3 linked regions of the Styela clava genome follow. The protein of the gene in region 3 binds, or shares a complex with, the protein of the main gene of each other region. Links are inferred from orthologs where the notes say so. Each region holds a gene or a part of one and is shown on either strand. Other genes may lie near its edges.

Region 1 (11,326 bases), on a different chromosome or scaffold from region 3:
TAATACTTTTATTATTCAGTAAATCCAAAAATAGGAATCAAAAATGAATAATATCGGGCAGTTCACTACACATTTTATGCTCACAAATTGTCGTCGCAACCATAAGTTACGTTAAACAAAACTAAATTAATAACGCATAATAATTTTATATGCTGGTATCGGTCATGGATATGAATAATTTGCACAACAGAAAATCATCCCAGTAAAAAGTCGAAACTTTCAAATAACATTATCAAAATTATTTGCCATGAAGCGGGAAAAAGTATTGATTATTTTCTCCAATAAATCGACTTGTTTTCCGACTTGCGACAATTTATTGGGTATCATAACAATTACGACATTGAATAATCTTCAATTTCTTGACGTAATGGAAATGAATGTGTAAAATCGTTTGAAGATTCCCGCAAAAACGAAAAACCGTGTTTACGATGAAAAGAGACTATATATTATTCAAAAATCAGCCGAAAATGTATTCGAATATTTGATTCGTTTTGGACAACCCTGTCTACGAACCACAGTCTTCTTTTCTACAATACAACAATAATTTTCGACCCAATTCTTTAATAAGGTTCGCCATTCCTGCTAGACTAACCCATCAAATTGCGTGTTCCCTGACTACTACATGAAACATTAGCGTTTTCTGACCATCAAATGTTTGAGATTGTTTTGTAAAGTTCAAAAACAATTAGGTTGAAAATTTTCAGTTGCAGATTAGTAGTAATTTGACTCCAGTGTAAATGTCGAATATTCAGGGAAGTATTTCACTGGCTTTATTTCGCTAAATGTCCGTACAATTATAGAGACCCTGCTCAGCGCAGAATGTTTTCAAAACATTTCGCCTATAAGTTTTTTAAAGTATAATTTCATTTGATTTCAATTGAAAATCTAGAAAGGCTTTTTGTATCTTATACTCACCAGAACAAATATTACAATCATTAGATATGAATATTGAACGTATTACTAGCTCAAAATTAATCCCTCATCAAACGCATTTGAACGCGAAATAACGGTGCACGAAACTACGCCAGTTATAAGCACCATTAAATATTAAACAATGCGGATATATATAGCACCAAGGTCTAACCCACCCTATTCCAAACAGCACGAAAAATTCGTCGCAAATGCGTCTTTCCTTGGAATTCAATTGCAACAGAGAACAAGACTTGCGTTACACGTAACACATTAATTTATAAGTTGCTCCTTCGCTATCCAGTAAGACATGGGTTGGATTCTGTACCAAGTAATGGTAATTATGTTCCTCAAGAAGTAAAGCATGCAAGAAGATTCCTAAAAAGTCAAACTATTCTTCGACATTTTCTTTCTGAAAAACGATAAAATGGATGAATTTGGTGGTTTTCAACATTTTGTGTTGAAATCTTCTATTAGTTGGTTTTGAACTGTTTATACCAAAATCCCTATGTTTAATTACCTTGCCTTTTGTAGATTCTTTGCCAGTGTTATACAAAAGTCGCATTTTCATTTTTACGCAGTTCAAATAGTTTGTCGCGTTTTCATGAATAATATTATACAAAAGTGAGTAATACTACAACGTATATTTCTATTCAAAGACTCTCCTCTAGATAGGAATTCACCCAATATCATAAAAATCATTTTATAGCATAATATATCGAACACATCTTTACATCAAAAGGTTATATTCAAATTATAAAACCAATTAACTTCGAAAGAAATTTTGAGAATTGAAATTAACGAAACACGGAGAATGGACTCTTCATGCAGTGTGATCGTGAATTATGCCAAAATATTTTAAAGCAAAACAGGATTCTTCTACATATATACTTGAGCAATTTAAAATATTTGTAATTGAAAAGAATTGTTTAATAACAGTATTTGGAATAGAAATATCGCAGGCTTCGGGGTGGCGTAAAAAATTGTAGGGACAATAATACCAGGGAAAAATTGATATACCATGACGAAAGAGATAAAACATATGACCTCATAAATGATGGCACGATCCACAATGCTATGCCAGCCAATGCAGACCTCTTGAAATATGCGCAACAAGCTGGCGCACAACCTGAACTCAGGTTGTGTACCAGGTTAGGGTTCAGGTTGTGCGACATCTTGGTGCGCATACTTCAGGAGTACCCAAAACTTGATGAGAGAAACGTAATAATATATCAAACATTAAAAGATTGTATTAAAATTATTAATCAGAAAAATATAAAAAAAATGTTCAAGACTTGATGAGAAAAATGTAATAATATATAAAACATTAAAATTAATCATAAAATAAAGACACGATGTAAAATCGGACAATACCTTTTAAATGAATTTTAAAATGTGAAACACTGATCAGATTAGTTCCTTAAATTTGACAATGTTCGTTTCCAAATCTGACACGCATTTCGCCATCCTTAACATGACACCCGTCAACCCACTGCCCTATTTCGCCCTCCTTAATCTGACACGCATCGACCATATTTCATCATCTCTAACCTGACAGGAATCGACCCTATTTCGCCACCCCCAATTTGACACGCTTCGTCCGCATTTCGCCATCCCTAATCTGCCACGCTTCGACCGTATTTTGCCATCCCTAACCTGCCACGCTTCGACCGTATTTCGGCATCCCTAATCTGCCACCACGCTTCGACCGCATTTTGCCATCCCTAATCTGCCACGCTTCGACCGTATTTCGCCATCCCTAATCTGCCACCACGCTTCGACCGCATTTTGCCAGCCCTAATCTGCCACCACGCTTCGACCGCATTTTGCCATCCCTAATCTGCCACCATTCGACCGTATTTCGCCATCCCTAATCTGCCACGCTTCGACCGCATTTTGCCATCCCCAATTTGGCTTTTCGTCCCTATTTCGCCATCCCTAATCTGCCACCTTTCGACCGTATTTCGCCATCCCTATTTTGCCATCCCCAATATGACTTTTATGCTACCAGCCCTCCTCTACAAATCAAGCCCTGATGTCTGTGGTTTTGTTACCGGTACCAGTAAATATTCTGATGTTTATTCAATTAGGCTATACCATGATATATTCTGGGCCACAGGCTGATATTCCCCATGTAGTACAAATACAATTCATTGGCATTAACCCAAAAGGGCCAAACCTTGAAAAACTGTTTTCAGAAAGTTGGGAAAAAATTTTCGATTTCGAAACTCCTGTACTCTAACTTTTTATTGAAATAATCTGCAAAATATTGCTGCAAACTGATTAAACACCGGTACCGGTACCTAGTCTACTGAGAAAGCACTGTTATTTTTTATATTTTCATTTTGTAACAAAAAGCCAAATTTTGATGTCAAAATTTTCAATTTTGGAGTTGTATGGTAAACCACAGCCTCTCGTCCGGTTACCATTCCATGTCGGGTGTGGAATTCTAGAATTAGCCTAGTTATTTCAGTATTTGTTTTCGGAAGCATGGACTTGATGGTGGAGGAAGTTCTGAAGTTGTAACCGACCAGCGGTTACATGAACCACCCTACGGCGGCTAAGAGTCCAGTAGTCTAATCCTCTCGCACATTACCATTTGAACCTGCGAACACACACAGAGTAATCAGAGGTGCGGTGGCGAGCATATTCCAAATGCTTAGCACGATGAGCAACGCCCCCACGCCATATTCAATAGTTCAACATTTCCACCACCTCAATTATCCCAATAATTATTATGTCTCATTATTTAAACCTTGTTTGAAGATTTGGTAACTTTCCTGATATTCCGCACTGTGTTTGGCTTGTGTATTGTAATTATTTGCACCATGACGAAGTTCGTAATAATTTATCTTCTCTATCTCTTCGCTGCCTTAGGGTGGTTCACGTAACCGCTGGTCGGTTATGGCTTTCTCCACCATCAGGTCCATGCTTCCGAAAACAAATAACTGGCTAACTATATCTTTTTATCGCAGTCTTGTAGTCTACCTTTCAATGCCGAAAAAGAAACCATTTAGTGGAAAACAAAAAAAGAAACAACTTCAGGAAAAAAAACATAGAGGTGAAGGGTCATTGACCCGATCAGAAAACAAAGAAGCATGGAAATTACAAGATCAAATTGAGAAGTACGATTCCGACTGTTCTTCTGGAGATGGGAATCCCCATGCATTTGAAACTGGACGGAATATTCACGGTAAAGCGACGAAAAGTACGAATCCGAGAGACAGGTATCGACTGAATTTTCTTCGAGAATCGAGGGATGAAGTCGACAAGCGTAAATTGCAATCACAGACGGAATTGCTCATTCCGATTCCACCGGAAAAAATGGAAATGAGTATAGAAGAGGTTTATCAACCTGGTTCGGAATTGGACATGCCTCAGCGGCCACATTGGGATTATCGTGATTCAAAACAATTATTAGAGCAACGTGAGGAAAAATATTTTTCAACATATCTTGACAATCTGTACTCCAAGTTTGAAGACAAAAATCTCAGTTATTTTGAACACAATTTGGAAACGTGGCGGCAACTTTGGCGTGTGATTGAGATGAGCGATGTCATAGCAATGGTCGCTGATGTAAGGCATCCAGTGCTCCATTTTTCTCCCGCATTGTACAACTTCGCCATTCATGTTGTCAAAAAACCTTTAATACTGGTTTTAAATAAAATCGATCTGGTTCCAGCTCCTGTTGTGATTGCCTGGAAAAAATACTTTGAAAAGAAATTTCCTGAGCTGCATGTTATAACTTTTACTTCGTTCCCAAAAAATTTACGAGGAGACGCTGCGGAAAAGCGAATTAGTAAAAAACGACCTGTTGGAAAACGTGTTTATACCACGCAAATAGGTCCGCAAGATCTGCTACAAGTTTGCAAAAAAATTTGCGGAGACAAAGTTAATCTTGAGAGCTGGGAACAGAAAATATTGAATGACCTTGAAGGTCTAAATTGTGACCTTGAACCAGAGATGAATATTGAAGAAGAACATCAAACCTCTGAACAAGGTCCAGAAAGTAAAGAGTTGTTTAAAAATGGCAGACTTACTCTTGGGTTTGTGGGTCATCCTAATGTCGGAAAATCATCGCTTATGAACGGCCTTATTGGAAAGAAAGTTGTGAGTACTTCAGTAACGCCAGGACACACAAAATATTTCCAAACGTACTTTTTAACTCGTGACGTAATGCTATGTGATTGCCCTGGTCTTGTATTTCCATCACTTGTGCAAAAACAAATGCAAATTTTGAGTGGAATTTACCCAATTGCGCAAGTACAAGAACCTTATACTCCTGTGGGGTATTTAGCATCAAGAATTCCGATTGTAAAGCTATTAGGCATCACCCACCCTAATGGTGAATCAGAGTGGACAGCTTGGGATATTTGTGAAGGATGGGCGGAAAAACGAAGGTTTTATACAGCGAAAGGACGGCGTACAGATGTGTATCGTGCAGCGAATAATATTTTAAGAATGGCTGTTGATGGAAGGTTATGTTTGTTCATGTTGCCCCCAGGATATGTCAAGGAAGAAAAATCTTGGATGGCTAATTCTGAAACGTTGAAACTTTTGAGTCTGGTCTCAGATCCTGGCAGTGTTGGCGATATATTAAGTTTTCATCAAATGTTTTCTCACCCAGAAATAGCCAGTTCTGAGCACGATACTCAAGATTCAAGCAGTGGCGAGGAGTCCGAATCTTCTCATGAACATGGGGACGGTGGTAAAGGGTTCTCTGTGCAAAATAAGTTTGCTTTACTAGGAGAGGACTGATGTTTAAATATTTCCACTATAAAAGACTAAAAATAGCATTTTTATGTTATAAGTGTGTGCATATGGAATTGGGCGATGACTTGTCAAATTTTATGTGACTTTTATGGTGTACGGTGATTAAATTACTCATTTTTTTTTGTCATTTTGATTATTTAAAATGATAGCCAGATATCACCAAGATTTGGTTTCAGTATCAGTACTTAATTTCATAAGTTCATTGTATAATTTATTCATGCTATATATGAGATTATTTGCATGCTATTGTGACTGTTTTATTGGAGTTGTCCTGCCTATTGTAATCCCTTTTGCCTTAAATTGGTGTTTAACCTCGCATCAAGTTGTTGAATGGATAATACTGTATATCTATCTTATCATATTCTAGTAATTCCAATTCCTTTGCGATGGAAGTCTATACCTGATTCCAATTTATTATCTGTGCCTATGACATTGTAATGCCCTAACAGGTAGTTTGTGCGAAGCGAACAACGTATTTCATAGGATTAAAAACCGAACTTTTTGTGCCTACAACTACTAGAAAGCCTATGTTAAATAAAGGTGCGGTCCACGGTTTCACCCAGTTATTTGTATCTGGCTCTTCTGTGTTATTAAAGGTTGCACAATCCCCGTCCTAGATTTATACTTTTTTCTGTGGATGTCAAAAGTATTTGGTAATTCAACATATAAAATTGATACTCATCATTGGTAATCATCAATATTCGATCATTTTTATCATCGGTATGTTTTATTAATTTCAGTTAATATTACTATTTATATATTTGTATTGGCGGATTGTATCCCAAAATGAGTGTGAGGACTCCAGGCAATCCCATTGTGTTTTTTGATATTTCTATTAGTGGCCAGGTGAGTGAAAATACAAATAGACTCTACCTCTTTTATAAAAAATCTAGTTTTGCTTTTAACAGTCCCAGCTTGATAAACCCTGGTCTAGTAATATTACCAGTTTTATATAGTGTGTGTTTAGCATGTTTTTGTCCATAGAAAAGGCCATTGTCTGGTGCAGGGGTTCTTAAACTTTTATAACTCGCGCCCCCTTTCTAGAATTTGTCAAGTATCGTGCCCACCTCAAAAATACCTAGCTAACAATAACAGGCGAGATCAAATCTAACAACTATTTTTATTATAATTAGCTTTACGCCTCCTCAAAAAATTGTCCACGTCCCCTTGTGGGGTGCGCCCCACTGGTCTAGTGCCATTTTCAGAGCTTTCAAGAAAAGTATGTAGTCCTATTATATATTGTTTTTAAGACTATTCTATCATCTTTTCCAGGATGTAGGTCGAATGAAAATGGAGTTATTCAAAGATGTCGTGCCAAATACTGCGGAAAATTTTAGACAATTTTGTACAGGAGAATACAAGTAAGTCCAAGTAATAAAAGAAAGCAAGGTTATTCAACACAAATCAAATTTTGATTCGATTTGAAATCAATTACAATACTCAAGAATGTGGACAGTGATGGACACAAAGGTCCAATGACTCCCACTGAAATCATTATCTAATTCAGGGTGGTCCAAACCCAGGCCCGCAGGCCACATGTAGTCCGCCGCTTCATTATCTGTGGCCCGTGTCACATTCGGAGAGTAATCAAAAAATCGCATTTTGTGTTGTTTCGTCATAAAATTAATCAGAAAAATCTTTTGACATATTGTCATCACTGATGTCACTGAATTAAATAGTGTTATGGCTAGCAGGGGAAACTAGCGAAGTTGAGTGACGTGCTTGGCAGTCTAAATTGTTATCTGGCTTTCTAACTTTTTGGTCGGGAATATATGCTAACAATATATGCATCATAGAAAACTAAAAATCAACTGCAGATTCTATTAGCTAAGAATGGCTATGCCTGATAACTATGTGTTTGCACAATAAAAGTGTTTATTTTGTATTGCACTGTTTACCTATTTTTGGCACTATTGTGGCCCGCGAACAATGCAAAAATAATATTGTGGCCCGCGGAGCCAACAACCTTGGACCACCCTGATATAATTATTCAAAAGCTTCAAATCAAAGTTGCAAATCGAATACGACCTAACAGTTTGCATTAGTAAACCGGTACCTTTAGTGCACCAGTAAAGCCTTAGCTTAGCAGTGAGCACCGACTACGACAGAAAAGAAACTGACTGGGCTGATGTAATGCCATTTCGTGCCGCAATATTAGTAAAAATAGAACCCTAATTTTCAATAAGATGCATTTGTGGAAAGGGTTTTGTTGCATTTCTATTTGAAGTTGTAATTTTCGAGATACAGTTTTTACTCTATTATTTATTATCTTTTCATAATTTATGTAAATCACATTACTTCTAATTCTATTTAGAGTAGATGGGATTCCTATCGGTTACAAAGGAGCAACTTTTCATCGAATTATTAAAGATTTCATGGTTCAGGGAGGTGATTTTGTAAAGGTGGGAATGCATTTTAGTTAGTTTTTTGGATAAATTTATGTGGCCGAATTTATGTTTAATGTAGTCACTTAAAACCCAATTATTGTGAGTAACATGGTCGTGGAGAACGACCAGAAGTCAATGATTATGCTCATTTACTAAGAGGTAAACGAGACTAATGTCTTATCAAAGTTATGGATATCACTACTGTCTACCACAGGGGTGGCCAACCTTTCACATACCATGCGCCACGTTTTAAACATAATGTTTCAGATGCGCCGTAAATCTCTTGTATTCCCACGCCTAATGTCCGCTTCTTGCAACAGGCCTTTAGTATCAATATCTACTCTACTCTACCCTCGATTCTAATTGGCCTCTGCTAATCAGCTGTTTGGCCTAGCGTTGCGTGATTTTACTCCAGGCTTCTTCGAGATTAGTACTTACGTCACAGCAAGCGATTTTACGCTTCGCTTTTGTTGACAACGGTCTTTTGAAGTTTGTATGAAAAAGGTGGTATTTAGGGGGCATTTTCAGCATTGTTGTGGGTTGATTTATAATAAATTTTTTAGGCTTGGGCAATTCAACTGGTTGTTCAATGGTTATTGGGAGATATTTGGGAAGTCTGGGCAAAGGAAAATCCATGTTTCAAGCTGATAAATGACGATTTTCTATTTTTCCAGAAGTTCTGAACTTTTTACTTCAGTAGGGAAAAAATAGTAAATTTTACTAATTTTTGCTAAAAGTCTAGAATGAATGTCATAAAGTCCGTCCAAAAGCTAACGTCGATAATCGCCTGTTGTTTCTAATTCCAACAAGCCTTAAGTGGGCGACGTGGAGTAAGGAGAATAGATTTTAGGTACAATCAAAAGTCACCATGTAAATCGCAAAAAAACGACTTGGCGTCGAGAAGCCAAGTGCAATTAACAATTTTGGCATGAAAAGGGTTAAAGATGCAATGCGCCACCTCTAATCATGCAATGCGCCATGTTTGCCGCATGCGCCATAGGTTGGGCACCCCTGTTCTACCACCTGCTGAAATTGTATATTTCCTCAATATTTTTTCCTGTTATTTGATATTTCAGATATTTGGTCCTCAAAAATGTTCAGAAAATATTTTTCTTTTGAGTTGATGAGCATATCTTTGCATTGAGTAAATTCTACAGGACAAAGACCATCCTCACATCCAAGATTGCAGGCTTTGGTCCTCACATCAACTTTGTTTTCCTCCTTGATAACCATTAATGTCCAATCCATATTTCCAGGGAGATGGGACAGGCCTCACAAGCATATATAATGGCATCAAATTTGCAGATGAAAATTTTAAAGAAAAGCATACAGGACCAGGATTGCTATCAATGGTGAGTTTCAATATCATCCACATAATAAAAAGAAAGGATTTTCGTGGTGTATGATTACTCATGCGATTTGCTTAACATGTTTTGTGCTTTGTCGGGTGGTGGTTTGAGTTAGTCAATAGCGGAAGTCGCTAAACGAGTATACGTGTATATTTCTTGCAAACAGGGGTTCAAGAACACATTAGTTTTCACATAACACCACTTTCAAAAGAGTGATTTCCCTAAACTAGGGGTCGACAACCTACGAGTAACATAATCCGGCCCGCGGCGCTTCACTGAATTATAGTAACAAAACAGCTATTTTGACGATTATATTTTTTACGTTACACAATTCATTGTGAGACGTGTATAGACTAAATTATATTACAATCAAACAATTGTAAAATTCACAACTACCTGTTTAATGAGCCTATAATTCAATTATAATCAGACAAATGGCAACAAAACGCAGAAAAGTTGATGCTAAGTGCAAAGGGTTCAATTGCGCCAAAAATGCAATGCAATGAGGAAATAAATCTATCTTCTATTCAAGAGATGTATCACTGCTTCATTTTTATTATAAAAAGTATCATCCGTTCGGTTTTCAACTTTCTAAAAATATGTGCTTTATGCTGGTTCTAAACTTTATGCTGGTTCTAAGCGAAATCTTATTTATGCACTTTCATTTGCTTGATCAGGCCAACAGCGGACCTAATACAAATGGATGTCAGTTCTTTATTACTTGTGCGAACTGTGAGTTCCTTGACAAAAAGCATGTAGTATTTGGTGAGTATAGGAAGTTTTTTTTAAATAATCATTGTTGTTTTTTATGATCATAGCAGCGTTTCCCATTCGGGGTGAGATTTCTTCCCATCAAAGTGTTCAAACGTTTTAGTGAAGGAGACTTTACTTTGTTTTGGCGTGCCTTCACTAAACACTATCTACCTATTTTGATATTATTGTATTATAGTTGGTGATAGTTGTTTACTATTCGAAAGCCAGAGTATGAGTTGCAAGTATTACTAGATAATGTATCAATTACAAAGGCAAACTTAGATATTATGCATAGTGATATAACAAAACACCGGTATAACATTTTTTATGAATTTGTTCCGTCATGTTTGGCTGCTAGCCTTTTCAGCACATTCCCAAGTCCCTTCCGCTTCGGGGTGTGGGCTTCGTGTCCATATATTTGGGTATATTCTCTTTTTAATCTACGCTCGAGGAGTAAACTACATTTTTTTACGTAACAGAATTTATCGTGAGACACGTTTAGACTAAATTTTAATATATCCTAAAAATTCTATTGACCAGCAAATCGTTTAACGAGGATACAATTTAATAATAATTAGACAAATAGAAACACGAAGAAAACTTGATGCTGAGGGCAGGGGTTCAATAGTGCAGTAAATAGTCGAATATGTTGGTTGCAATGCAATAAGAAAATAAAATTCATTCTATTCGAGAGATTCATCACTGCTTAATTTTTGTAAGAATGTATCTTCTTAAAGAAAATCTTTATCAAAATTTCACAAACCATGCAAAAATATTCACTTCGATGTTTGGAAGTACATATTTGTGCGAACAATTATTTTCGAAAATGAACAGTACAAAGAACAAGCAAAGAACTGGAATTAGTGATGCCCATTTAGAAAAAGTTCCTTGGCGTCGTAAAGCTATCAACCGCGATGCAGCAACAAGACAGTGTCACATTAAAAATCATTGTAATAATTTTTTATTAAGACGACTGAGTTGAGTTCACGAATTGTCGCCGTTTTTAACTTTCCAAAAAATATAAGCCCGCAAAAGACTAGCAACCCTAAATTTTGTCCCGCGAGCGACATGAAATCTGCCGACCCATGGGCCGTAGCCGATAGTTGGTCATGGCTTCTTCCACATCAGAGTCCATGAATCCAAAAACAAATTGCT
Region 2 (10,845 bases), on a different chromosome or scaffold from region 3:
TAAGATATATAAAATAAATTAGAAATAGTCCATGCTTGACAAGGAAGCTTTTGTAGGCAGCACTGGATTGAGCCATTGACATTTGTCAGCATATGATAGCTTTTTCTAAGCTAATAGTTGAATGAAACAAGAGAATTAAAAGAGTTATCGTCACACTTCAGGCCCTTCTCCTCCTGGAACCAGCTGAGAATTTTAAATACAAGTTACATTTGGTGATATTATATCAAATTTCTTATTATAGCGTACAAACATGATGTAGCAAAAGAGGGTAGAATTGGAAACAGAGAAACGTGTGGGTACTACATATAAAATATTACACCGCTAATGCACATATGCAACAGGGCGGGGTTTCCCAAACTGGGGTCTGTGATGAATGCACAAAAGCCGAGAGTTCCCGTAAAGTCTCTTCTACGAGTTTGCTTGTCACAAATTTGTAGTCTCAAAGTCTCCGAGAATCGATAAATTATGTAGTGAAAAGCAAACACATCCATCGCATTAATGTTGTTTGTATTGTTGTGTTGTGAATGAAACATTATCATTTATCGTCGGTTTTGCACAGAAACTGATACAGCATAGGATGGGGTGCATCATCACTAAGATCCACAAATAGTGGTTCCCGGTCCAAAAAGTTTGCAAAACCCTGCAACAGGGTGTCGTCTAATTTGTTGACCACAAATCCCACCACCATGACTACAGAGTCTGGTAATATTTGTACCAGACTGCAAACTTGAGTTACCAAAGATTAATTTTGACTCGAGAATTTTGAATCCAATTCCAGGTTTTAGTAAATTTACAGTTTAGATGGCTTGGACCAGGGGTGTGCAACCTGCGGGCCGAATGCGGCCCACAAGGAAAAATTGTGCCCGCAAAACATGTTTTTAAATTAGTTTAATTTGGGTTGTGTGGGTAATTCCAATCCCCTTGCGTTGCTTAGCCTATTCCTGAGTCCAATTCATTAACTATGCATATGACGTTAATTGATAGATAGATAGTTTATTTTGAAAACTCCATAACAAACATAAATTAAAAATGGAGAATTCTGGAGGGCAAGCAAAACCTATAAAAAAGTTTAAAACATGAGAAGTATCTCATGTGCCTGCCCACCAGCACGCAAACAAAAACACAAGCCCAGTTAAATGAGGCTTGGGCCAAACTTAAACAAAATACACGATAGTATTGAACTTTCGGGCTGTTGTACTTTTAACACTTACGTTGATAATGACCAATACAATCTCATTCAAAGATAATGTGGGGAGTGGAATGTAATAAATTTGCGACGATAGTCGACGATTGCATACTCATGAAGCCATGAAAGCTTTTAAGACCAAGCCATGAAAAACTACACTGATTGCTAGATTGGGCATTGCGGAAAAGGAAAGTGGTTTAATATACAAAGAAACGCAAAACCATGGCGGCAAATTGCCCTAACAGTTAGCTCAGGCAAGGCGATCAACGCATGTCACAAGATCAATAACCAATTAATTGCCAATAATTGTTTAATAACCAATTAAACCCCATAATTTTCGTGCCTGCAACTACAAGAAAGCATATGTAAAATAACAGTGCGGCCTGCGGTTTCACTAAGTTATTTGTATCTGGCCCTTATGTACTAAAGGTTGCACACCCCTGGCTTAGACCATAAAAACTTAGGCATATGAAAACAAAATGCCCTTTTGGTTTCTGTTGGAAATTTTACTTTAATTACCATCATTATCAAAATCCAGCAACCATTCATCAACACAGACTATTGTATTGAATCACATCAAATTTGTTACATATTAAGTTAACCAAAGCAAGATGTCTACTCTTACCATTGTTATATTATTTCCATTTAATAATATTTGATCAAGTTTAGTAATTCTTCTTCCTTCAGGTGTTGATTCAAATTCAGTCACATCTTCTAAAACCATATCTGTTTTACACTAATGATAGGAAAATTTCGAATTGTATAATGTGGGAAAATATAATACTATTACCAAACTATGATAACTAAATGGAAAATAACATTCGCATACCATGCAACATCGAAAACTTTCTGTATGAAGATTAAATCTGAATCAAAAAGAGATTCCATTGATTCAGGATAGGATTACCATACTTATCCTGATGGAGAGGAATGCCGATATAATAGCTTAAATATATTGCAAATTACAGTCTCTTATCTGCTTACCAGTATATGTCGGATATGGGAATATTTAATCAGTTCTGCAGTTGTTCGTTTCAGATGCATGAACTTGTATTTACAAAAACAGCGGTTAGGGACTCCAAAGTTAATGACAAACTTACTTGACCTCATTTTATGTAGTGAAAAAACGGTTTATTCAGACTGCGAAATGATAGATAGAGCTTAGCATAGTTTCGTTATAAAAACAATATAGGCCTACTATATACAAGTATTTGCCTTTTCTTTTGTAGATGCAGTGCACATTTTGGGCATTACATACAGTATTCAGATATATACTACTGATCCATGTGCATAAGATATATAGCATGATTGAATAGCCATTTCTAAGTCTATACCAGTTGTGTTAAAATATCAAATTCTATTTGAAAAGCGTCAACCTGTGCGAAAGATTTATACTTTTTTTTTTAGTTTGACCTCCCATAATCTGTAATAGTGTAATCCTACATATAACCACACATGTTGTGAAATAATTCAGTAATTAGATTGTTTGGGTCTTGAATCAAAACCAAGATTGAAATCAATGTAAGGCATGTGTAAGAAGATGGAATTGCGTAATGTATTATTGTGAAGGATACTGACAAAGTCGTCGAAACCAAGTAAGGTTCCAACAATTTCTTTTTCACTCTTCATGATGATGTGAATCTTGGACCCAATGCATTTGTCCACGAGTTCTGAAACAAGTTAAGCTGTTTTTTGGAAGTGTTAAAATTATTGCCATCATCACTCTGATTACTGGATTATCCTACGTCTGTACGTGGGTTTGCAGATTTAAAATCTTGTGAGCATGAATATGTGCTGAAGCAGAGTTTACCGAAATGTGTGAGTTGCTGAGTTCTCCACAAAATTAACAAAATTGTGTTATAGACTCTACATAACTAAAATATGATTGAATATTTGATTTGTCTGCTGAAAGAGTTTAGTGAACACAGAAACAGGAGTGATTTTTTCAGCATTTTAAAACAAAATCAGGTAGAGATGAGGAAAAGAGTTACCGTATCTTTCACTTCTATTCAGTCTATTACATAGGCGTACATGTTTACAAACATAACCAATCACAAAATTGAGTTTAAAAGCAGCATTTTTTCCAAACAAAAAGTTTTGGAACTGCTTTGCTCAAAGATTGAAAGAATTTGTTTACTGGTTTAGAGTGGTTCATCTAATTACACTTTATTGTTTCATCAACCAAACATTCAAGAAAATAATTTTACATGCTCCATAACATTAAAAACGGTCTTACTACTTACTGAATACAGCGCGAAACACCGCAAAGAGCGCAAAACAGCGCGAAACCGCGCAAAACAGAGGGAAACAGCGCAAAACAATGGGGAAACAGCGCAAAACAGTGCGAAAGAGCGCAAAACAGAGTGAAACAGTGTTAAGCAGAAAAAAATTTTGCAATGAGTTTGGGGCACCTTGTTGGGCACCAGCAAATTAAAAACACAAACCAACGTATGTAGCCAGTAATGCTGTAATGGCAGGTCTGCCCCTGCTGGTGACACATTTTGGGTACCATAATTTAGAACATTTTCCATATGGATATGGTTGGCTTTAGGGTTAGGTAAAAAGGGACCTCCAGAAGTATGTGCACCAAGATGGCGCACAACCTGAAAATAGTATGTGTGTGTGTGTGTAGTGGATTCAGGTTGTGCGACATATTGCTGCACATACTTCTGGAGCACCAAAAAGGTAGATAAAATTTCGTATGATGACCTATAATCCGGTACATAACCTTGTAAATATACCGGAATTAGCGCCATAAAACCATGACGAGAGGCGCCGTGGTACTTTTGTGGCAGGAGGTGGTAATGACTGCGTCTTCTGTTTTGCGCTGTTTCCCTCCGTTTTGCGCTGGTTTCCTTCTGTTTCGCGCTGTTTTTCTATGTTTTGCGCTGTTTCGCGCCGTTTTGCGCTCTTTGCGGTGTTTCGCGCTGTATTCAGTAAGTAGTAAGACCCCATTAAAACGAATAACTGTCTATCTTTTGCATAATTCACATGAAGAGGCAACTTAACCGGGAGAGAGGGCATTAACCACCACGTCATTAAGCCGTCTTTCATCTTGATCGCACACCACTCTCAGACTCTCACAAATGCCGTCTAACTTAAAGTTCCAAGGAATACTTGAATAGGTAACGGTACTCACCAAGTGGCAACAGCTGCGAAGTCGTCATTCTTATCTCTAACAACAAGGCACAGCAATGTAGAAAGTATTTTCCGAAGCCTGGACAAGCAAAACGACAATAATCAACCTCTGTCTGCTGGTCTGTCTGTGAAGCTAACAACGAACCCAAAATATATCAGACTCAATGAGTGAGCTGCCGGAGCTGGAGTCATATTTTAACCAGCGAGGTGTGTAAACTTCTGACTTCCAGTCGTCGGAGTCGTAGTTCATAATACAGAAATGGGAATTTAACTAAAAGGCATTTAGTTAACTTTTAAATTTACAACTCAAATTTGAGAATCAAAGTAATGTGTCTCAAATCAGTCTCGCTTGGAGTCGGGAGCTGATTTGCAAATCGAATTTACAATCAAAGCTACAAACAAGCCTCATTTATGTATGATGTCAATTTTTTCGATATTCAAATTAATTTTGAATAGCTTCCTAACAAGTATGCATACATGAAAATATGCCATGCATGCGAACTGCATCGACTCTTCGACGCCATTTGCATTGCATTCACCGACGCTTGACTATGAAATTTTTTTCTCTTATTTTACCACCCGACGTTTAAAACGGACATTGTGGCGAACCACTTAACTAATAATAGCCGTTATGAGTCACAATTGTTTTGTTTATGTTTTTGTCACGCATGATTACTTACGTGCTTTTCTTACGATAACTTGTCATTCTGTTTTCTGTTCGCTTGTCGTTAACATTGCTTTGTTATGGATTAAACATCAACATAGTTCAAAGTCTTTTTCTTGTTAGAAAGAAGTTAGTTCGCTTCAAATGGTGACCCCGACCTCAAAAGCATACTTTTGAGAAAAGAATACGCACATAACGAAGAATATGAGTGAAGACAACAAAGTAGGCCTAACAGCGGTATCATTAAAGCTGCCGATTTTCTGGACTAAAAATCCTGCCGTTTGGTTCCACCAAGTCGAAGCGCAGTTCGCTGTTCGAAATATCACAACAGATGAAACAAAATACCACTACGTGGTTGCCGCTCTGGATGACAATACCGCTGCCAGCATTCTTAATGTTCTCAATAACCCGCCGGAAACGAACAAGTACCAAGATCTCAAAGAGAAGCTCACTACTAAATGTTCGCTAACGGATCCTGAACGAGCTGCGCGCCTTTGTTCAATGCCTGGACTAGGGGATGGAACGGCAACGGAACTTATGGACAACATGCTTGCATTGTATCCAGTAGGTAAGACACCTGATTTCTTATTTCGCCATTTGTTCGTCAGTCATCTGCCACCAGACGTCCGGTCTCAACTTACAGACATTTTAACAACCACGGGCGACGATTTTCGGAAGCTGGCAAGGAAAGCAGATGATATTTTAACTGCAAAAGGCTATGAGGTGACAAACGCTGTACAAAAAACCAGTTCATGCAAAAAACAACCATCTCATGTTTTGTCTGAAATGTGTTTTTATCACAGGAAATTCGGCAAGAAAGCCAAAAAATGTCGCCCGCCATGTTCTTTTGTGGTTTCGGAAAACGCCATAGCCGACCGTCAGTAACCTCTTTGGCGGTCGGCGATTCAAACCTTTATTACGTCACAGACAAAAACTCTGGACGCAGTTTTTTAGTTGATACGGGTGCACAAGTCAGCGTGCTGCCTGCCACCGGTCATGACCGTCGTTACGGGCGACCAGGACAAGCACTTTTGGCAGCTAATGGCACCTCAATTACGACATATGGCACACGAAAAGTGCCTTTGACTATATGCGGTAGAAATTTTACCTGGAAATTCACATTAGCCAATGTTTCACGGGCAATTATCGGGGGAGATTTTTTGCGCTCTCACGGACTTTTGGTTGACATCAGGGGCAAACGACTTATCGAGGCAAGCACATACGCTTGTATTCCAACCAGAACCATTACTGGCACCCCGCCTTGCCTTCACTACGTAGCCGAAAACGATTTTGCCAAAATTCTGAACGAATTTCCTGATTTAACGCGCCCCACATTCAGCAACCCGACCACTGCACACGGGGTAAAGCATCATATTGTTACAGAAGGCCCCCCGGTGCACGCAAAGGCTCGAAGATTGCACCCCGATAAGCTAGCCGCGGCAAAGGCAGAGTTTGATAACATGATTGAACTCGGAATCATCCGACCCTCAAATAGCCCCTGGGCGTCTGCGCTTCACATCGTACCTAAACAGGACGGCGGGTGGCGCCCATGTGGAGACTACAGACGTCTCAATGATATGACCGTGCCTGACCGCTACCCAGTCCCAAACATACAAGATTTTACGGCCCGTCTTGCGGGAAGGACAATTTTCTCTAAAGTGGATCTTGTTCGCGGTTATCATCAAATACCTATTCATGAACAAGATATCCCCAAAACTGCCATTATCACACCGTTTGGCCTATTTGAATTCCTCCGCATGCCGTTTGGGCTTAAAAACGCCGCCCAGGTATTCCAGCGTTTAATGGATACCATCTGTCGAGGTTTGCCTTTCGTATTTGTCTATCTTGACGACATCCTTATCGCCAGTACGTCTAAAGATCAACACAAAAAGGACTTGCGAAATCTTTTCCAAAGGCTAAAAAGTCACGGTATGGTTATCAATCCTGCCAAATGTAAATTCGGTTTAAGCGAATTAGAGTTCCTGGGACATACTGTTACAAAGGAGGGTGCTTTTCCTCTCCCCAATAAAGTGAAGGCGATAACTAATTTCCCTCGCCCTTCATCTGTAAAAGGCCTTCAAGAGTTTCTTGGCATGGTTAATTTCTATCATCGGTTTTTGCCCAAAGCTGCCCAAATAATGCAACCACTATTCGCAGCACTTTCCGGCCTGCCCAAGAAGTCGAAGGTTTTGCCCGAATGGACTGACAGTATGATATGTGCATTTGAAAAAACTAAGAAAGTACTGGCAAATGCAGTTATGCTTACACATCCACAACCAAACGCACCAACTGCCCTCACAGTCGACGCTTCGGACGTTGCCTTAGGAGGTGTTCTCGAGCAAAAGTTAAATGGATCTTGGAAGCCAATTGCATTTTATAGTAGACAGCTACGCAAACCCGAGACGAAATACAGTGCATTCGACAAGGAACTTTTGGCCGTTTACTTAGGAATACGACATTTTCGTTATTTTCTCGAAGCACGACCCTTCACGGTTTTTACAGATCACAAACCCCTCACTTTTGCTATGGCAAAAGTCTCTGAGCCATGGTCAGCGCGACAACAGCGTCACCTCAATTTCATATCTGAATACACAACAGATATAAAACATATTTCCGGTAAGGATAATACTGTCGCCGACGCCCTGTCGCGCGCGGTCATCAACGACATCAATGACGGCATCGATTATGAAATTATGGCCACAGATCAACTAAACGACAAGGATACACAGGCTTACCGCACTGCTATCACCGGTCTTCGGGTCGAAGATATCCCTTTTTGCAACGGCAAATTTACATTGCTGTGTGACGTATCTACGGGTAGACCACGACCTATAGTGCCTGCCAGCTGGCGCAGAAAAATTTTTGATGCGGTTCACGGGCTCTCGCATCCAGGCATACGTACCACTCGCAAACTGATCTCACAAAAATTTGTGTGGCATGGTCTCTCCAAACAAATTGGACAATGGGCCAAAACATGCCTGGAATGCCAAAAGTCTAAAATAAATCGTCATATACGGGCCCCTTTAGAAGATTTCAAAATGCCAGACAAACGTTTTGACCATATCAACATTGACTTAGTTGGTCCTTTACCACCATCACAAGGATACAATTACCTTCTTACAATAGTAGATCGTTTCACAAGGTGGCCAGAAGCCATTCCCCTCAAAGACATATCAACTATGTCTTGTGCCCGAGCTTTCCTGTCAAATTGGGTTGCCCGTTTTGGTGTTCCACTTCACATTTCTTCTGACCGAGGATCACAGTTCATTTCAGGCCTTTGGTCTGCTGTTGCCGAATTATTGGGAACAAAAATTCATCACACTACAGCCTACCACCCACAGGCAAATGGTTTGGTAGAACGTTTTCATCGAACAATGAAATCTGCCATTAAGGCACGACTCAATGATTCAAACTGGTTGGACGTGCTTCCATGGGTTTTATTGGGAATCCGCACAGCTCCGAAAGAAGATCTTACGGCATCGTCAGCTGAGCTTGTTTATGGCGCTCCCCTCACTGTCCCCGGTGATTTCATATCAGACTCTAAAGACAATAGCTGCCCGACCACAAATCTTCGGCTTCTCAGAGAAAGAGTAGGATCATTGGCTCCAATTCCTACGTCGCACCATGGTCCTTTCAGAGCAAGAATGCCAGCCGCACTCAATCAAGCCAAGTTCGTGTTTATTCGTCGTGACGCACACCGATCTCCTTTACAAAGACCTTATGAAGGACCATTCGAAGTTTTGCAACATGGGAATAAAACTTTCAAAGTACAGATTGGAAACCGAAGCGAAACTATTTCTGTTGACAGGTTAAAGCCAGCTCATCTTGATCTCGACCATCCTGTTTCTGTATCCATTCCTAAACCAAGAGGACGTCCTCCAATCCCTAAAACAACAACGAACAATCAGCGTTCTACAGACGATCAACCTACAACCGGTTATGATTACAGAACCAAATTTGGTAGAAAAACTCGTAAACCCACTAGATTTTTATAACTCATTCCGTCTGGGGGGGTAGTGTGGCGAACCACTTAACTAATAATAGCCGTTATGAGTCACAATTGTTTTGTTTATGTTTTTGTCACGCATGATTACTTACGTGCTTTTCTTACGATAACTTGTCATTCTGTTTTCTGTTCGCTTGTCGTTAACATTGCTTTGTTATGGATTAAACATCAACATAGTTCAAAGTCTTTTTCTTGTTAGAAAGAAGTTAGTTCGCTTCAACATAATTTAAATAAAAGATGTTGCAAAAAGAAGTCTTCAGATGCATTCACGCAAGTAAAATATACTTTTCATTTTCACACACTGTCATAATTAGACGAATTACTTAGTAAACGGAAAACGAATTGTAACAAACATTATTTGCCCTCCCATAGTAACATTTTTTCCAAACTTAATACCAGATTAATAATTATAATGCCAAACGGTTTATTGCTGGAGATTAATTTCTAAATTGAGAAGTCTGAATTATCATTAATAGAATGCATAAAAAGCTGGGATATATCTACTTATTTCACCTGTTACACATTCAGACAAACTAAAGTCCAGATTATTTCAATTATCAGATGTCAGTATTAAGGCAGTATGATACTGAAATAGCAGTTATTTTCCATGGGAAATATATTGCTTATCAAGGGTGAATGATAGTTTTTATTATTATTATTCATATATAGCCATTGGATATAGACAATGATATACATATATATACGAAGTCGTGAATACTGCGGCAACGATAGTCTACTGTGAAAAATTGCAATACCTGTACTCAACGACTAACATACCCCTGTACTACAGCGTTTTGACTTTCGTGTCCATATATATATTTGAAAATCGCTCTCTTGGTTTGAAGGAAATACAACCATTTAAACAACATGGTGGACTAGTTTTTACTATTCTACATCATTTTAGCTTATGAAGCCATTGCGTAAAATGTATTAGGTAGGTTGTCAAAATGGTCTAATATTCGAAACCGAGCAAGATTGAAACAGAAATAATAAAACTAATCAGTTAGTTAGAGTGTTAGACCATCATCTGAATGTACCATTTGATGATTTAAACAAAGCTTCAATAAGTGCCATGTGGAATTGAAATTAGCACATAGCAAACAACCTTAGCCATTCGGACAACATCGGCGCAACAATTGAATCACCCTACTTCTCTGAATGAGTTTATTATACCAATTTATGACTTAATAACACTTAAGATACTTACTTACAATTACCTAATCTATTAAATTGAATATGCACCACTAAATGCACAGAAGCCTTCAACGACAAACAGGTGATCTCTTAAACCGAGCTTATCTTTACCTGCCTGATGCTTATGATGAAATCTCGATTACAATAATGATGAAAGAGATGTTATTCAGGAGTTTCAAGTATGGGATTCATTGTATGATATTACTTCGGATGAAAATCTATTTTCAGATTTCTAGTGGAATATCATTGTGATGCATTCGCTGAAATTTTCATAATTATTAGCTGTTTTCGCTATTTGGAAGTGGTATGGCATTAATAACACGCAATGCATTTGTATACGCATACTACAATATCTCATTAATTTTACTATTTACTTTAAAGTGCGCGACAAATACAAGAGCAATAAAAATAATCACAAGACAAAAGCAATCACAGTGATTATTGACGAAAACAAATTCACCCTGAATAAAAACTCCACGTTTTCGGCGTCCGGGTTACTCTTGCTTTAGATTACGTTAAGGAGCTTACGTTTTTCGCGTTCTTTGTTGACTTGCGTTTCGTATTTGGTTAGATTGTAGTTATTCCTCAGGAGTCCGTTAGAAGTTTTTTTTCAAATTGTTTGAAAATGGGAATCCTGCGTTGGTGAGACACTTTATT
Region 3 (10,537 bases):
AACTTATATCACAAAGTAAAATACATGTATAATGCATGTTATCATACCAAGATGTTATGGCAAAGTCAATTGTAATACACCACATCACACTCAATTTTCCTTGTTTTCCTGAAGCTATTCATAATAAATCTAAGATCAGAACCAGATAAGTTACTGCTTCAGATATCAATGAAAATAGGCAGTAATTTTACAAGCAAAAACCGCCGCAGTAAAACCAAAGTACTAATGGACTTTTAGGATTTTCTTTTCACTGTGGATCAGGGTCATCTTTTGGTCTAGGATTCAAATATGTACTTAAAACAAACCAGCTTATGTACAGTTTTTAAGCAAAAGTAATTGATCAAGAACTAATTTCTGTTACAGGCTGATAGACATACGACAATCATGTACGGTATATATAGCCACAGTAAAAACAAGATAGCCTAAGTCAAATTTTTTTAGAGATGGGCTTTTTTGATTTTTTATAACAAGCACCTGTTGTTTTTTGGATTCAATAGCTCGGCATTTGATGAGTGGAATATTGTGATACTATCCGACTTTCGAGGGTAGAAATAATGCCAATATGTCCTAATTCCAGTGTTGTTTTGAACCCTAAAAGATTTTAAAACTTTGTCCAAAATGGGGGGTAGAATATATACATATAGTGGTGTGTTTTAGGCGTCCCCAAACACACAGTCTTAGGTGCCATATGTAATATGATGTTTTGTAAAGAATATCAGATTCCTATTTTACCACATTAATTACAGAACTGAGAATAACAAAATTGTGATTTTCTCAAAATGTGACATAAACTAACTTGGTTTTACTGCGTCATGGTGTAATAAGTAGAGCTGGGAATAGTGACCCGTTAACTACTATTAGATGGTTAATGGTTACAAGTAATTTTAAACATCAACAGACATCCAAAGGAAGTAAAATTAATTCGCATGTATCAGTATTAAAATTCCAAATAATTAATGTATATGAGTGACCAAGCAGATCGTCTAGTTAATAGATGGACATTTCTGATCCATATACAATTTTCAACATTCCAAACTAATATTTATGGCAAACAGTTTTATAATCATAACATAATATAATAAGTGATATTTCACCCAATTTTCAAAGGTAAAAGTGTTTTCATAATAACTCCCAGCCCTGGTAATGAGTCTTCTTATGTGCTATCAAACTAGATTGAGATACCTGTACAGTTAGTACTTCTGGTATTACTTTCCTATGAAATTTGAAAAATTTACAACAAATATCTATACAACATTTCTAAAATAACTTATCAGTGTCTATTCACCATCACCAAATAATAATCTTTATAACCCATACAAAATTCAATCTTGTTGATTGAGGCGAGAAATTTAGAACAGAATAGCAGGTTTAAAAATAATTAAAATATTATCATATTATGTCCGATAACAACCACTGACAAAAGAATATCCTAATGCAAAACACCCAACATAAGCAGCGGATCACATGGTAATTTTCATTTTTAACATATAAATCAAGTCAAGTCAGGGCAGTTTCTAGCAGGGAGTACATTTCTAATGTTATCAAAACAAGAGTTGTTGTGGGCATGTTAACAATAATTTAGGCATTTAAAATGATATGGCCCAAAATAACATCAAAAGATTTTCATAATATGATCTGCCAATCAACTGCTACAAAGAAGGCATAAGATAATCAGAATGACAAAGTTTATGGTACCCCTGCAAGTGTTTTGTAATAGGTATTGGAAGCTGCAATGATTTACGGCTCAACAGAATGTCCCGACAACAACACAAAAATATTGATTTGCATCGATGAAAATTGATTTCATTTTTCATATGTCTCACAATTATAATACTAATCATTTCTTCAGCCCTCCACCACCAGCTTGCAATGTTTTACCAGCTCCACTTAGAACAATATAAGGACTTGCTTCGCTTTGTAATTTTTCTTTCATCATTGCTACTGTGTTAAGTGGTGTATCAGTCGAACTCATTTTCAACATCATATCTTCTTCTCCTTTCTTTTTTTGTCGTTTTTCGAGTTTCATTTTACCCGATCCTTTGCCGTGAAACCTGTGAGATAATTTTCTGAAAGCTTCTTTTGGATTCATTAATCGACCTCCTTCATCAACATACTCGATAGTTACTTTAGGTTTATAATTTTTCTTTTCTTCAAAATCCATTACAATTCCACGATCGTAGCGATTACTACGGTCTTTCGAGTATTTTTCGTGAGCGTATTTATCCAAATGATCAACTGCGTTTTTGTCTTCAATGGAATAGTTTGCAGAAAGCAGGTCAATATTTTTACTAGTTATTGTGACTGAGCTTTTTGGTTTTTCTTCCATCAGGTAACCCTTTCTCGTGGCTAGTTTTAGTGCACCGGCTAAGCCGCCTACAGCAAGAGGCTCGGCTTCAATAGGTGCATGTCTATCATCGACAGGTTCTGCCTGTGTAACTGGCTTAACTTTGGCTTTATCGTTCACAAAATTCCATCCTGACGTAACTTCTTCTTCTTCTTCATCTTCCACGTCCATATCAACGCTGTCGTCCATGGAAGTCTCTTCCATAGGCACTTCTTTAATAACATTCAAATCTGAGGCGGTTCCGAGCTGACGACAAAATTCATCAGTTGAATTTAAAGATATAGTTGTAGAATAATTGGCCATTGGATTTTCAAATGAAACTTTATTTAAAAGGTCTAAATGTTCGACGACTTTACTGGCACCGACATCCTCAGTAACCATGTTTGATTTAACCTGTTTTGCCCGTCTTGCTTTGTCCAATGCTTTTTGAAGTTCATTACTGGCATCATCCTCGTCAAAAATGACATTTTTCTTCGAATTCATTAAAGTTGTAGATGTTATACTTGTGTCATCCACTTTTGCAGATTCAATACCTTCATCCCATCCAGGTATATTTCCTCGTTGATTTCGACTTCTAGAACCAAAATCAGATGATGTTGAACTACCCGGTAGAGGTTGTAGATCGTCTGGTTTTAGATCACGTTTTCTTACTTTTCGCACTTTCTTTTTTCGTTTTTTGAACTTTGTCATTTCCTCTTCAGTCAAATATTCAGATGCAATTTTGAGTTGAGGGAGTGCTAAGCTGACTCCTTTAGCTTTAATTTCATTTTTCATCATCATTTTTTGTTGTTCCCAAGTCGTATCAACTTTTCCATAATTACCGATAGTAAATTTCTCTTGCTTGATTCCTTCAATTTCTTCATCATATTTCGAAAGCATAGACTTTTGTTTAAAAAATCCCATTTCATCAACCTCTTCCTCATCATAAGCTTTGTATCCAGAACCTTTGGACTTCACGTCCAAATTTCGTTTTGCTTTTTCAGTATCAACCAAGTTTACACCAACAAGAACATCATCCTTATCTTCTTCAAGTATATTTTTATCTTCGAGAGTCAAAATTTCTGATCTTCCTTCTTTGAACATTTCTAAGGAGTGTTTTACAGTAATGCCTTGCAAATCACGAGATGTGTATGAGTCTTTCTTTACATCGGCAAATTCATTGTCTATTAAACCACCAATACCAAATTCTGCATCCATTTTAGCCATTTCTTGTTCTCGTTTTTCAGCCACCTTTTTTTGTTTTTCCATTTTTCTACTTCTTTCTACCCAAGATACCGCATCATTTTCATCTTCATTTTCTTCTCCCAAAGTCTTGATTTTCCCCATTTTTTTGTTTAAGTTTCTTTTTTCTTTAATGGCTCGTAGTTTTTCTCTAATATCATCCTGTTTTTTCTTTTCCCACAAATCTTCAGCAGGAGCATGAACAAATTCTTCTTTCTTTGATTCGGTTGCATTACCGGAAGATCCACCGACGTCGAGAGGTTTGAGTCCCAGTTTTAACCTCAACTTATTTGTTTCTTCAATACTGAGTGAGTCACCTTCGCCATTAGCTGATGTTGGAGTGGGTTCAGCATGATGTTGTCTTGACTTACCATTACGTTCAGATTCCAACTTTTGGGGGGATTCAGAATCTCGATCTCGTTCACTTTGTTTCTTGTGTTTTTTCTTATGTTTTTTTTGTTTAGAATATGATTTTTCTGTTTCTACATCGTCATGACGTCTTCTTTTTTTTTCTTCTGGACTATGACTTTCATCTCTCTCTTCATCATCATATGCAGGACTTGAACGCTTGTGCTTTCGATGTTTATGGTCTTTCTTATGCTTTTTAGATGATCCCATCGTATTTATTATAATTAAGAATTAACCTGTAAATATTAAAGTAACAGTTCGTTTATTCAATTAAGGCTAGGCCACATATGGATAGTAAATCAAAAATGTAATACATACATCAATGACGTACCAAATTCAACAGTATTACAATGCATTTTTTTTTAATATGCCCAACAAAGTTTTTAACATTCGCATGAAATTGTTATATTCGGCAACAGGTCTCAAATCGATGATATCATTTTGTTGGGCGAAGTTTCCATCAAAATGAATGAATATTCAATTTCAATATTATTGATATACTTTAAAATTGTGAAATAACCATTCACAAAACTTGCCGTCTCGTTCCATGCATTAATTTATTTCCTTTTTTTATACTTGAAAATCTGAGAATTTATTGACATTACAACAAATAGATGCTAGTTCAACTCATTTGGTCCAAAGTTAAACATGATAATATACAGTGTTTTTGTATGAAACCAATACAAATGAAAATCATTGGAATAACATTAATCGTTCCACGTTGATTCATTTTTGTATACTACACTTGTAAAAGAGTATAATTATATGTTAGTTCACTGATCAACTACACATTCCTCAAACTTGCAAAAGTATCAATAGAAATGCAGTATGGTACAGTTCTCCAATTTCAAGAATAACCCCAACATTAGAAGACATCAATTATACCAGTGAATGCAAACCGCTCCTTTATGAGACAGTCTGGGCCTCCATATCGCCAAACTGGCACTGTGCAAATAAACTGAAGGATACACAATCTGAAAATGTCACCATTGACCATTGGATTCCCAAAAATAATACAATTTACCAAAAAAAAAAAATTTTACTGTAGGATTCAAGAGTTTTTAGCAAAAAAATGTTGACAGAAATATTTTGGTCACATGATGGCAGACACACGTAAAATTATTATCGAGACAAGCATGGCGCAAATTACCGCCGTACCAGACACCCTCGTTACAGAGACAAATAGAGTGTTAGTTTTATTGAACCAAATATAGACAGATCTTGGCATCAGGAGACTGTGCTCTATTGGAAATGACTTTCATGATCTATATCTGAGAATTGGTTTAAAATGTAATGCATCAAGTCAATGGGAAATATCAAAATAAGCAGAATTTATTATCGGCGCCTGTTTACAGATTTAATATCTTTTGATGAAAGTTTTAAAACTCCATCCTTATATTTTCCAATTTGCGGATTCAAACTTTTATCGCCTTGTTTCCAGAATTTCGGCATGCCACTCGTCTTTTCTTTATATTCGGTTCTATTGTTCGACAATATATTATTGCCAGAACTTGTATCTTGTTTCAATCTTTTTTGTTCTTCCATGAGAATTTTATAATTAACATATTTCCGTTTTGTCGGTTTTGCTCCAAGTTTTATTGCTCTTTTTCTTTCATGTTCTCTCTGTTCTTCTTTCGAAAATGCCTTCATTCCAAACGAGCCAACGCTGAATTTTAATTTTTCTAAAACTTCCGAAGAATTTAGTCTTTCATTTGTATATTTAGACTTTGGAATATTGAACTGTGAGTCTGTACCAACAATAGTTGGTGATGCTTTTTTTATTTCCGGTTCTTCATTTTTAGTTTTTTTACTTTTAAATATGACAATTTCAACTTCCTTTTTTAATTTATTATCATTTTCCTCTTTCGTCATCACCGTGGATGGAATTATGGGGGTATTGGGTTGTGTTTCTTTAGGCTGTGTTTCACCTAAAAATTCTGAAGCATATTTATCCAAAATACTTAAAATTTTATCATTATCTGCTTCCTTCATGGACACTTTGTCCTTTATTTCCATCTTATGGCGCCTACGTTTAGTCATTTTCGCGATTCAAGCCTGAAAAATAAGAGAAACAGTACCGTAAATGATATGAAATTAGATGATACATTTTTGTTATAAATTGATTTCAAAATTTGTCTGTATGTCACTTGTGCACATAAATTTGTGTGTTTCCATGCCACTGGAGCCCTTTAAAAATCGAAATTTACACCACTGCGACATACAGGTACCCTACTGCCCTCTTGAAGCGTTGCACTAGAAAGTACCGTAGTCCTGTAGTTGAGCTGTCCGCCTCCCGTGCAGAGCACTGTACTGAGCAGCGGGCCCCCATACTGAAGTATGTATTCAGCTATCCCTAGTCCTTTTACACCATTCGTTTTCAAACTGGGGTCCGCGGTCGCTTAGGGGTCCGTGAAGCGATTTTAGGGAGACCGCGAGACAGCGTTAATCTCGGCACAGAAGCACTTTGATCTGAAGTAAAGTTTTGATGTCTTGCTTTTACAGTGTTTCTACAAAGCATGACACGCTCTAACAAAGACATTATTACTGTGTTACGTAACAAATGTTGGGGAAAGTGGCAAGTACCGTAAATCGGAGTGTGTGGTTTATGGAAGGCGCGCGCATCTGATTAAAAATAAGACCCGCGGCCCGCCATAAAAAATAAATTTAGATATAACAATTCATATGTGAAATTTGGTTTTGCTGTGATAGTTCTGGAGGAAAAAAAGACCATAGTTGGACCGTCCAATCCCGATGTCACTAAAACTGCTTCATTCCATTTGCAACAACTTACGAATGTGCGGGCATCTTTTTCTATGTTACTCACTATTAAAACAAGATATGAGAGTTGCATTATCCAAAACAGAACCCAAGGTAGACTAACTAGTGGGAGCTGAGCAGGCGCACACATCTCATTGAACACTCTTAATGTCATTCAATAGATGAATGCTTGATATACTGCGTTGTTATAATTTCTTTGGTGGACCACGAGTCATCAGAAAAATTGAAAGGGAACCGTTATGCATTATTTTTCAAAAAGTTCGAGAACCACTGTTCTACACAATCCGTAGCCTGGTGGTAGGTACCTACTACAGCTACAATCGTGACAATCAATCAGCCGTTCACCTACACAGTGTCACCGTCTACATTAGGTTGTGGTAACGTGTATTTGAGCTTGAGACAAAACAATAAAATTTACAACATCACATTTTAGGATTTAGTTTCGCTCACGATGAACTGTCATTCACACAAAAAACTGAAATATATTTATCTGCACCAAAGTGACTAGCCTATAGTCATTTTGATTTGCACTCCTGCTTGTCAAAAAAACGGAGTCATGCTGCTCGGAGTCCTGAATCCCTCTGTGATCAGCACCGGTGTGCATTTGGTGATGAAATATAAAAAAAATATTCACGAAAATTGACCCACGCCTCTCAGTCCAGATCAGTAGTGAAAGCAATTTAGTGTTTTTCAGTTTATGTTGAAAATGTTGATTCTGACCGCCATGTATCTGTTTATGGAAATCTGAACTGAGACACCGAGGGTTGTGAAATTTCTGTTCCGGTTTCAACTCCATTAATGGCAAAAAATATCCGATCCCGAATCCACATATTGTGTTTTATTATGTAACAATTATTCCATATATACATATGTTAACTTCGTCATGGAGGGTTTTTATTTTGTCAAATTTTATATACGATAAAAATATTATTAACTGTGAAAAAAGTATTGCAACTAAAAATGGTAAACTGTTAATCCGCATGATGAAGAGGTGGAAATTTACAAAAAGCTCGTTTTTTAAGTGCAATGATATTTACGTAATATTGTGTTTATATAAATGTGATGTTTTTATTATAGTAAAAAAATCCACAGCCCTGGATATAGAAAATAGACAAAAATCGATGTAAAAGATCAAGCTGAGTACGTAAAACTTTAACAGCTTATGTTTCGTGAGTATACACAAGTGGATACATAAAAGTCATTTCGTTTTGTAGTGACTTTATGAGTGTGGGTTGTGCTATGCAGTGGTTCTAAACATTTGCAAGCCTTCCGAACACCTGGGCTATTCTGCAAGCCAGTATGTTCCCCAGCTTTTCATTTTAGGGGGGGGGGGGTGTTTCGAAGTTTAGGGGGTGGAAAATAATTTGCTATTGCGATGAAACTATTTGTACTTTCAAAAAATTGGTATGTATTTAAGAAACAATGTACATGAGGGGGCTCCCAAGTTGATTGACGGCGAGCCAAAATACACAGCAGAATAAAAATGTAGGGCCAGAAAAGGCGAGCGAAAAGTGCGCGACGACACGGCTGGGGTTCACGGCTGAAAATTTTGAGAAATAGGCACCAAAATAGGTTCTAAGCTTGATTTTAGATACATCTAGCATCGCAGTTTGTTATGTAATGAAATTAATAATTATAATATTTAGCTGATAGAATTCCCGAGGAATAAATAACAAGCCCGGCTTTCAGCAAGTAATTTACGACTTATAGTGACTAATGAAGTTACCTGCTCATCTAGCATATGGCATCGTATGAATGGCTACTTATGGCTTGTTTTGTTACACATTTCACATTTTTTGAACATGATCGTTTGACTTTTGTACGAATCAAGCGATGAATTAAATTTCGAAATACGCGCGTCAACTGATCATAATGGCGCATAATGTTGTATTCCTTCAGAACTGAAATTTTAGGGGGTGTGTTCACCCCCTATAGGGGGGGGGGGTGTTCACTGCTGCATTCTTCTGCCGAACCTCATATTATTGAACATTTCAATTAGCGCAATCGGAAACTTATAATAAGTAACCTAATTTTTTGTTATATATCAGTGGTTCCTACCCTAGAGGATTTTAGCACTCGTGACCTCTTGTTCACCATCTCAAAAATACGAGCATGCGTTGCGCCGTAAATATATACTACTGCGGTTGCGCACATTCTAGATAGGCCATCTCGATTTACTTTGATAAAAGCAAAGTAATTGTCGTTCTATTTTCGTTTCTTGGGAATATTAGGAATTTAGAAATATTTTCTACGTCTACCTTGCAGTCATGTGAAACTTTCGTTATATGTAGACAAGGTTCGACCGGTATCTTTAGGTCAAATGGCCTGCCGACCTACTACAAAGCTTAGAATTAGGATAGGATTTACATATTTATCTCGGGGGAGAGAAAAGCCGATAAGACGGCTTATCCATATGGCGAACCACGGCCTCTCGTCCGGTTACCATTCCAAGTCGGGTATGGGATTAATTTTACTGTATTGTTTGTTTTCGGAAGCATGGACTTGGTGGTGGAGGAAGCCGTAACCGACCAGCGGTTACGTGAACCACCCAACGACAGGAAGGAGTCCAGCAATCCTCTTGCACATAACCATCCTTACATGGGATTCGAACCTGCGAACCCACGCAGAGTAATTAGATGTGCGGTGGCGAGCGTATTCTTAACGCTTAGCCCGCTGAGCCACACCACCGCGCCGCGCCAATTTGCGGAGCAAAGTGGCATTCATAATGTTATTTTGATTTGTAAATCCCAAGTCCCATTATAACCCAACAATTCATGCACGAGAAAGTGAAAACACCATGTGAAATGAAATGAAACTAGTTAGACCGGAAGCATAAAGTATGCAGAGAAAATTGCATAAAAATCAATTTTGACACCGGTATCGTAGCCCCTTCCAACTGTTCTGTGGCAGTCAATAATAGTCATTGTTGCGTCTAATGATTTTTTTCAGTGCGAATTCTGCAACGAAATGTTCTTTGCCACAAATTTATCACTTGCTGAAGTGTTTCGTTAGGATTTTGAATGGTTGTTCCCTATGACTCAGCGCATACCGTAACTGCGCGTCTTCAACTATCCGTTTACAAGTATCTAGTTAAAACGTGTAAAATCTTGGTTGTGTATTATATTTTTCAAATAAAACGATGACGACAAAATCAATACGAAGATGCGATAAAACAGTAAAATAACTTAACTCAAAACGAGGCAGGAAGCTTGTTTATTACGGTTGAGTTGTTTGCGGTCTGAAGGTTAAGCGTCGAGTACCCAAATATCGGAACATAATTATCAAATCGTGGCAAATACGTCGCGCGACCAATCAACGCTTGAGCGCTCGTCATAGAGAAGTACATAAAAATCTTACGATACCTGTGGCGATATTATATATGATTTTTTGATGAAGTCTGCTGACATGAAAAGTTGTAACCGCCAATGACAGAGCTACTAAAACTTAAATCTGAGCGAGTTATTTAAACGTGTAAGTTTGTATATCTGATATGAACTATTGATATTTTTTCATAATTGGAAGGCTGGGTAACAGAGAAATTTCCTGATATAGAACTGCTTCAAAGGACCTTTTTCGAAACCCTGGAACAGCTCAACCGAGCCCCAGGGGTTAGATCGAATCCAGGTTAAAGTAGACCGTACTATAATTTCGCAGAGCAGAAATATAATCGCTATATTTTTGAAATAGATCACATAGTTTACTAATATTTCAGACATGCTTCAAAATCGGCACCAGTACGGTAAGGAATTAGCTAATCACTGAGTTTGCTGAAAAGATCAGTGGACA

What was found.
Region 1: U4/U6.U5 tri-snRNP-associated protein 1-like (region 3) and peptidyl-prolyl cis-trans isomerase H-like share a complex: the UniProt entries of both Homo sapiens proteins name them as parts of the U4/U6-U5 tri-snRNP complex. The link is inferred for Styela clava from reciprocal best matches to the Homo sapiens genes SART1 and PPIH.
Region 2: U4/U6.U5 tri-snRNP-associated protein 1-like (region 3) and U6 snRNA-associated Sm-like protein LSm5 share a complex: the UniProt entries of both Homo sapiens proteins name them as parts of the U4/U6-U5 tri-snRNP complex. The link is inferred for Styela clava from reciprocal best matches to the Homo sapiens genes SART1 and LSM5.

The regions. Positions count from the first base shown.
Region 1 is NC_135258.1:4,506,029-4,517,354, forward strand, and holds the start of peptidyl-prolyl cis-trans isomerase H-like, read left to right. Parts: upstream 1-6,342; 5' UTR 6,343-6,468; coding exon 6,469-6,528; intron 6,529-6,954; coding exon 6,955-7,043; intron 7,044-7,996; coding exon 7,997-8,084; intron 8,085-9,325; coding exon 9,326-9,421; intron 9,422-10,095; coding exon 10,096-10,183; intron 10,184-11,326. Other genes in the region: guanine nucleotide-binding protein-like 1, read left to right, coding at 3,838-5,667. UniProt on the Homo sapiens protein: PPIase that catalyzes the cis-trans isomerization of proline imidic peptide bonds in oligopeptides and may therefore assist protein folding. Participates in pre-mRNA splicing.
Region 2 is NC_135261.1:7,857,151-7,867,995, reverse strand, and holds the start of U6 snRNA-associated Sm-like protein LSm5, read right to left. Parts: upstream 4,499-10,845; 5' UTR 4,354-4,498; coding exon 4,326-4,353; intron 2,857-4,325; coding exon 2,761-2,856; intron 1,913-2,760; coding exon 1,812-1,912; intron 184-1,811; coding exon 151-183; 3' UTR 1-150. Other genes in the region: uncharacterized protein LOC120329406, read left to right, coding at 10,814-10,830. UniProt on the Homo sapiens protein: Plays a role in pre-mRNA splicing as component of the U4/U6-U5 tri-snRNP complex that is involved in spliceosome assembly, and as component of the precatalytic spliceosome (spliceosome B complex).
Region 3 is NC_135255.1:12,624,795-12,635,331, forward strand, and holds the start of U4/U6.U5 tri-snRNP-associated protein 1-like, read right to left. Parts: upstream 4,194-10,537; 5' UTR 4,184-4,193; coding exon 1,838-4,183; 3' UTR 1-1,837. Other genes in the region: 40S small subunit processome assembly factor 1-like, read right to left, coding at 5,309-6,013. UniProt on the Homo sapiens protein: Plays a role in mRNA splicing as a component of the U4/U6-U5 tri-snRNP, one of the building blocks of the spliceosome. May also bind to DNA.